2 linked regions of the Cricetulus griseus genome follow. The protein of the gene in region 1 interacts with the protein of each later gene in a biochemical or structural test. Links are inferred from orthologs where the notes say so. Each region holds a gene or a part of one and is shown in the gene's direction. Other genes may lie near its edges.

Region 1 (4,447 bases):
CTTGGAGGCATAGAGAGGTGGATCTCTATGAGTTCAAGACTAACCTAGTAAAAAAACAAAAATAAAAAACAACAACAAAAACCCAAACCAAAATCAAATAAAAAATAATGCTTAAAATATAAGAAGAAAGAGAAGAATGGAAAATGGTGAACACTCTTGTCCTCCCCAATTCACAGATCTGTCATAACACTGCTGTGTGAGATATTGCAAGTAATATTATTTTAGATGGCTGTGCTATTTGTGGCAAAAGGAGATGGGGGGGAGGGGGTTTAGCCTCAGAAGGAGAGGTTTCAGTTAGATGTTAGATAGAGCTTCCTGGTTACTAGATAAGGCCATGGTGCCCCCCCCCTTTTTTTTTTCTTTCGAGACAGGATCTTTGTGTAACCTTGGCTGTCCTGGAACTCACTGTGTAGACCAGGCTGGCCTCAAACTCACAGAGATCCTCCTGCCTCTGCCTCCCGTGTGCTGGGATTAAAGGCATGCGGCACCACCACCTGGCTTGCCATGGTGTTTCTAAGGAGAGCCCACAGATCCTGCCCCCCCTTCTTCATTACTTTTGGCCCTTGGGCGCTCATCACACCTTGCCTTTCCCACCCATCCCAGTTGGCAGCCAAGGAGGCAAAGCTGCGTGACCTGGAGGACTCCCTGGCTCGAGAGCGGGATACTAGCCGGCGGCTGCTGGCTGAAAAAGAGCGAGAGATGGCCGAGATGCGGGCGAGGATGCAGCAGCAGCTCGATGAGTATCAGGAGTTGCTGGACATCAAGCTGGCCCTGGACATGGAGATCCATGCCTATAGAAAGCTGCTGGAGGGCGAGGAGGAGAGGTGAGCCAGGAGGGGTCGAAAGACGTTGGCAGGAGCCTCTGGACTGCAACTACCATGACTAACCCCCCACCTTGTCTCCACCTTCCCAGGCTACGCCTGTCCCCCAGCCCTACCTCGCAGCGCAGCCGTGGCCGCACCTCTTCTCACTCATCCCAATCGCAGGGTGGGGGCAGCGTCACCAAAAAGCGCAAGCTGGAGTCCACTGAGAGCCGGAGCAGCTTCTCACAGCACGCTCGCACTAGCGGGCGGGTGGCTGTGGAGGAAGTAGATGAGGAGGGAAAGTTTGTGCGGCTGCGCAACAAGTCCAACGAGGTGGGCCTCAGGATCAGAGTCTTGCATTCAATAGCTGGGCGACATTGGTTCTCATGGAGCATCCATCTCTCTGGGAATTTGGAGTGTGACAGTCCCTACATCTCTAAAATTGTTGGGAAGATGGAAGATACCAGTGTGTGTGGCACAGTATACATGTTCACACAGCCACAGTAGGACCCTTGAGGGATAGGGTAGAGAGGCTAGTAGGTTTGAATACCAGAGATGGTGGTGGCAGACCTGGTTTTTGTTGTTGTTGTTATTTTTTATTTTTTATTTTTTGGATCAAGCTATTCCCCCTGTCCCCATGCCTCAGTACCAAAATCTGTAGTAGCTGGGACTACAGGTGTACACTATGGCATCTGGCCTACCCCGGCTCTTTTGTGAGATAAGTACCAGGTTGAAGACAGACTTTGAAGATTCTCCCCCCCCCCCCATGGAAGGCCTCATCCTCCCCGGGGAGCAGAAAGGGGATGGGTTAGGGAGTTAGTGGGGGGCAGGGGAGTTAGAAGGAACTGGGATTGACATGTAAAACAAGCTTGTTTCTAATTTAAATGAAAAAATAGAAAAAAAAAAAAGTACCGGGTTGAGTCTCCCGTTCTCCTCCCTCCCTCACTGGCAGGACCAGTCCATGGGAAACTGGCAGATCAAGCGTCAGAATGGTGATGACCCCTTGATGACATATCGCTTCCCACCAAAGTTCACTCTAAAGGCTGGGCAGGTGGTGACGGTGAGTGGAAGGGTGTTTGGGATTCTGGAGTGGAGAAGTTGGCCTCTGGACAGGAGCGTTAAGAATAAACACACTTCTTAAACTGTCTTTTCCCAGATCTGGGCTGCAGGAGCTGGGGCCACCCATAGCCCCCCTACTGACTTGGTGTGGAAGGCACAGAACACCTGGGGCTGTGGGAACAGCCTTCGTACAGCTCTCATCAACTCCACTGGAGAAGTGAGTATGTTGCAGCCTGGACCAGGCTCCCCCTGGTGGCCATAATGAGAGTCAGCTGCCCTCAACCCAATGCAACCTTGAATCACGTTCCAAGTGCCCACCCAGTAAGCAAGCTAGAAGTCTCCCCAGCAGGGTAATGGGTGGAAATCAGCCAGTGAATGTTGTTAGCTGCAGACTCGGCCTAAAGAGAGCTGATCTCCCAGGGGTGTCCTTTCTATATGTGTGCACAAGCACACTCCTTGACTCCAGTGTTAGAGGTCAGAGCAAACAGCCGGTTAGGGCAGAGCCTGGGAAGGTTCTAGGTGGTTATAGAGGGTTCTGGGAAGGTACTATGGGTAGACAGGCTGCATGGCCCCCACCCCCTGACTCTTGGGCCTGGGCCTATGTTCCCATAGGAAGTGGCCATGCGCAAGCTGGTGCGCTCAGTGACCATGGTTGAGGACGATGAGGATGAGGATGGAGATGAACTGCTCCATCACCACCACGTGAGTGGCGGCCGCCGCTGAGACCCAGCCCACATGGGTAGCCCTACCAGCCTAGGGCAGCTCCCCCACCTCTATGCCAAAGGTCTTTTCATTAAAGAATGTTTTGGAATGCCACTTGCTGCCCTGGCCTTTCTTCTCTCTCCTCCCTCTACCTTGAACAGGGAACCCAGGTGTCTGGTAAGGAAGGGAGTGGGAACTTTCTGGTGCCAAGGACTGTTCCACGGTGGCAGTGGACAAGGATCTGGATTTGTCTCCTGGGAAGGGGATGGGAGGACAGAGATGGCCCCAGCCCTGCCTCTCCCCTCCCTGCATGCATTCCTCTGCTGTCTCTTCTTCATCTGCTGCATGCTTCTTCTCACGTTCCCCTTATTTCCCGGCAACAGTGATTTCTCTCATTCCTGTCCCCTCCCTCACAAATTAAATATCTCCATCTCTGATCTCCCTCCCAATTTCCCTGTGAGATCCTAGGATTCAGGACAGTGTGAAAGCCACACCTCTCCATCTCGAAGCCTTCCTGGCCATTTTCCCCTGTCATGTCCTTCCTCCTAGCCACAGGCCTCCCAAGTCCCTATTCACTCCAGCTGTCTGGGTACAGAGGTCATCTTCCTGCCCAATGGCCAGGAAACTATAGGAGCCCAGAGCCTGGTCCTAAGCAGTCAGTCCCAGACGCACTGTCCCTCCTGAGCCTTGTCTCCCTTCCCAGGGCTCCCACTGCAGCAGCTCGGGGGACCCCGCTGAGTACAACCTGCGCTCACGCACCGTGCTGTGTGGGACTTGTGGGCAGCCTGCCGACAAGGCTGCCAGTGGCTCAGGAGCCCAGGTGGGCGGATCCATCTCCTCTGGCTCTTCTGCCTCCAGTGTCACAGTCACTCGAAGCTACCGCAGTGTGGGGGGCAGTGGGGGTGGCAGCTTCGGGGACAGCCTAGTCACCCGCTCCTACCTCCTGGGCAACTCCAGTCCCCGGACCCAGGTAAGTCATCATCGATCTGCATCTACCCCTACAGCAGGACACTGCTCACTAAGCAGCAGGGCAGGGCAGGCCACGGGAGTGGGACCCTCCTCCTTGTAGCCCCTCTTACACCCTGCCCCTCCTGTCTGAACCCCAGACTTGAGGGCAGGGCCAGAGCCAGAGGGTGAGGGTTGGGGGGACACACACCCCTTTGGGGTCAGGGAGGGAAAGGATGGGCCAGCCACTGTGCTCGCTCACATCTCTGCATTCTCTTCTCTCTTAGAGCTCCCAGAACTGCAGCATCATGTAATCTGGGACCTGCCAGGCAGGGGTGGGGCCAGAGGCCACCTGCTCCCACCTCACCTCATGCCCACCTCCTGCTCTGCACCTAATGGGAGCAGGCCTGAAGCCAAAGAAAAAATTTATTTCCTGCCTTTGGGTTTTTTTTCTTCTTCTTCTATTTTTTTTTCTAAGAGAAGTTATTTTCTACAGTGGTTTTATACTGAAGGAAAAACACAAGCAAAAAAAAAAGTCTCTATCTCAATCCTAAGTCCTTCCCATACTTTCCCTGTATCTGCCTTAAAATCAATGGGCTTCTTTCTCCAAGGAGCCCAGGGAAAGGACTGCTTTTATAACGGCTAGTTTTTGTCCTGCTGCCTTGGCCTTGCGCTTATCCCAGCACCCTGTGACATGGTGCCTGAGAGGCAGGCGTGGAGTTCTCTTCATCAGCCTCCTCCAGACAGCTGGCCCACTGCCACGCCGGCTGCAGAGAAAGGGGGTGCAGAGGGGATGGCTGAGAGAGGTCAAGCCCCTCCTGGTTCCACTGCACTTGGCTGAGCCTCCTCTGCCTGCCTTATACTCTTCCTGCCCCTCCCTAGCCTGGGGTCAGTGGATTCTCCCAGGCACCCCTGCCATGCTTGCTTTTTCTATATTT
Region 2 (3,233 bases), on another chromosome or scaffold:
AAAAAAAGGGTCATTTCCAAGATTTTTTTTCCCAAATAGCCACACCTGCCAATAGCTACTCCCTCCCAGGAAGAACTTCCGAGAGACCTACAGAATGCCCTGCATACATCCTTCTGGCACCTCTGACAAATCCTGAGTGAGGTCTGAGGCCAGACTTTTGTAGCACCTAGATGACCAGGTACTTCCTGTGGAGAATATTTCCATGAATCACTCAATTTGGGGCTATTGCAAAAGCCTCTTTAGACTCTGGGATCTTGATTCTTCTGCTGAATGGTAGAGAAGGGAGTTACACTGCAATGGACTAGACTTAAGCTCCAGGTTTGTGCAAGAAAACCACAGTTCAGATTCCTGATAACATCTGTGATAGGATTTTATAGTGGGATAGTGAGGGGATTAAGAGGCAGTGTGCTGAGGCAGGTGCAGAGGGTGATCCTTAGGGAGAAGGCAAACCTAAAATTCCTTGACCTCATAAGGAAGCAACTTGATTCTGTAGGGGGGGCATAGGGTAGTACTGAGCAATCACTCTGTATGCAGAGGCCTCTGGGAGAGGGGCCAGCATAGGGGGAGGGAAATGCTGGGAAATCTGATTTTGCCAAAACTAAAAAATATTCATGAAGCAGCCTCTGAATGGACAGAATGTCTCTCTCTGCCCTACTCTGTCTCTCACTTACACACACTCCTGCCCAAGGTTCTCCTGTCTCTTCGTAAGACAGTATCTTTTCCAGGGATTCATATAGCTCCATTTCCAGGGACAGAGGAGGGCACTGTCTTTTAAATCCATTCAACACCAACCCTTCTTCATTAACGACTTTTTTATGTGGTCAAAACAGGGCTCCTTCTCATCATTGCCTACTTTAAACTTCCATAAAGAATTGGCCTGTGGCCTTCACCTAAATGCCATCAGGTCAGCCTAGAACTGATCAGAACACTCACTATCACTATCATTTAAGACAGTGGTTCTCAGCCGGGTGTTGGTGGCGCACACCTTTAATCCCAGCACTCGGGAGGCAGAGGCAGGCGGATCTCTGTGAGTTCGAGGCCAGCCTGGTCTTCAAAGCGAGTGCCAGGATAGGCTCCAAAGCTACACAGAGAAACCCTGTTTCGAAAAACCAAAAAAAAAAAAAAAACAAACATAACTATAGAAAAATTATAGTTGTGAAATAGCTACGAAAATAATTTTATGGTTGGGGTCACCACAACATGAGGAACTGCATTAAAGGTCACAGCATTAGGAAGGTTGATAACCACTGCTTTAAGAGATCAGGTATCCCAGGCACCTTTTCTGCATGTACCCCTCCTCCTAAGTCTGTCCAATAAGGGGCAGCCTACCTAGTTCCAGATGACTTTGTGTAGAACAATAAATACATGGTCACTATTCGAGATAACCTTTGTCTGATACAGATCCTTTGTAAGCCTTAATTGATTCCCGGTTTGCCTCTAGGTTGTGCACCCTGATGGCCTCCAAGGTCATACCAAGTTTAGGGGTTATTCTACTCTGCCAAACAAGAACTCTACTGCAGAACTCTTCAGGGCCCCAGGTGGATGGAAATGTGAGTTAGACAGGCACAAAGTGTACCCGTCTACACGCATCACAAGGTGGGTGTCTTCTGATTATGACCACTGGCATGTCTCGGGGCCTTTGGAAGGCTTCTTGGTCCTGGAGTGCTGGCAGCCTCCCTGGCCCAGTTGCTTGCCCCATTTCCTCCCAGATGGAGCTAGGGGGCAGGCAGGGCCACGGAGACTGAGAAGACCAGCGAAGATGGGTGGGGCGGGCCAGGGGTCTGCGGGTGGCTACTTAGGTGATGAGAGCCCTGAATCGCAGCTGTTTCTTGGCACTAGTGTGCACAAAGAGTTCCCAGCAGTACCAGGCTGTCTGAAAGGGTTCGCTCTCAGGATTGGACTCTTTGCATTGCTGTGGAACAGACTGCCCCTGAGGACCATAGTTCGCTAGAGCACTGAGAAATAAAATCGGAGTGAAGCCAGTGACAAAGAGATCCCAGTCTCCCAACCACAGACCCTTTTCCGCCCCTCTAGCACATCTAACTCTTAACACACCCTCTGCTAACGTCTAGCTAACCTGGGTAGTCTAGTCAGCTGCTCCCCTGGCTCTCCTACAGGCCCCTCCCTCTTCCTGTTCTAGCCAATCCCACACAAGTGTGACGTTTACATTCTCCAGCCCCGCCTGTTCCAACCGCCAGACCGGTCTGTACCGGCCATTCTGGCGGGTTTGAGCCTGCCCTAAGGAGCGCGCGCAACTCGCGTAGCCGTGGCCGCGTAGCCGTGGCTGTGACGCAAACGTAACGGAGGCGTGACGCGACCACAACCGCTTCTAAGGCGCTGGAGCTTCCTTCGTCGCTCTAGGAGCTGTCCGTTTCCTAGGCCGTGTCCATAGGCCCGGGCCACCCCTTACGTTCAACACCGCTCCCCGGTGTCGGCCGGGTCTGCCATGGACGACTATGCTGTTTTATCCGACACTGAGCTGGCCGCCGTGCTACGCCAGTACAACATCCCGCATGGGCCTATCGTGGGTACGCGGCAGACTGTGGCGCGGAGAACCTATCCCAGGCCCCGCTTTCCCGCGCTCCTCGCTGAGCGTTATCCCCTACCTCCTCGTCCCCTCCCCGTATTCCCCGGCGCACTCGGGGTGCCCAGCTCGCACCCCCTGACCGCCTCGCACCCTGTATCTGACCAGGCTCCACTCGCAAGCTCTACGAAAAGAAAATCTTCGAGTACGAGACCCAGAGACGGAGGCTCTCGCCCCCCAACTCGTCATCCTCTTCATTCTCTTACAGGTTCTCAGGTGAGTCCCCCGCCGCAGAGCCTGGCTGAGCTGCTTGGAGACACAAGGCTTGGGGAGGGAGGGTGTGGCTGAAGCAATTGAGGGAATAGAGGGATGCCTAATGGTCTCTACCTCCCCCTTAATGCAGACTTGGATTCAGCCTCCGTGGACTCAGACATGTATGATCTGCCCAAAAAAGAGGATGCCTTACTTTACCAGAGCAAGGGTAAGACAGGTGTGGGGTGGGTCCTTTATCAGGGAATTTGGGCACAGGGAAACCTAAGACTTCACCCCAGTTCTCAATGGCTCTAGAGTGGAGAAACTGTCACAGCACACACACAGAATTTGGGGCCATGAGGTCACTTTCTCCTTTACCACTGTTTTTCCTTCCCAAGAATATAATGACGACTACTATGAGGAGAGTTATTTGACCACCAGGACATATGGGGAGCCC

What was found. The genes of interacting proteins can lie anywhere in the genome.
Region 2: the proteins of Lmna (region 1) and Emd form a complex in vitro, tested with the Homo sapiens proteins (4 studies listed by BioGRID and IntAct, with this or other methods). The link is inferred for Cricetulus griseus from reciprocal best matches to the Homo sapiens genes LMNA and EMD.

Annotation. Positions count from the first base shown.
Region 1 is NW_023276806.1:66,025,181-66,029,627, forward strand, and holds the end of Lmna (lamin), read left to right. Parts: intron 1-603; coding exon 604-824; intron 825-913; coding exon 914-1,136; intron 1,137-1,755; coding exon 1,756-1,863; intron 1,864-1,959; coding exon 1,960-2,079; intron 2,080-2,474; coding exon 2,475-2,564; intron 2,565-3,267; coding exon 3,268-3,534; intron 3,535-3,796; coding exon 3,797-3,823; downstream 3,824-4,447.
Region 2 is NC_048604.1:1,458,333-1,461,565, reverse strand, and holds part of Emd (emerin), read left to right. Parts: intron 1-1,441; 5' UTR 1,442-1,596; intron 1,597-2,140; 5' UTR 2,141-2,446; coding exon 2,447-2,528; intron 2,529-2,692; coding exon 2,693-2,800; intron 2,801-2,927; coding exon 2,928-3,005; intron 3,006-3,174; coding exon 3,175-3,233. UniProt on the Homo sapiens protein: Stabilizes and promotes the formation of a nuclear actin cortical network. Stimulates actin polymerization in vitro by binding and stabilizing the pointed end of growing filaments. Inhibits beta-catenin activity by preventing its accumulation in the nucleus.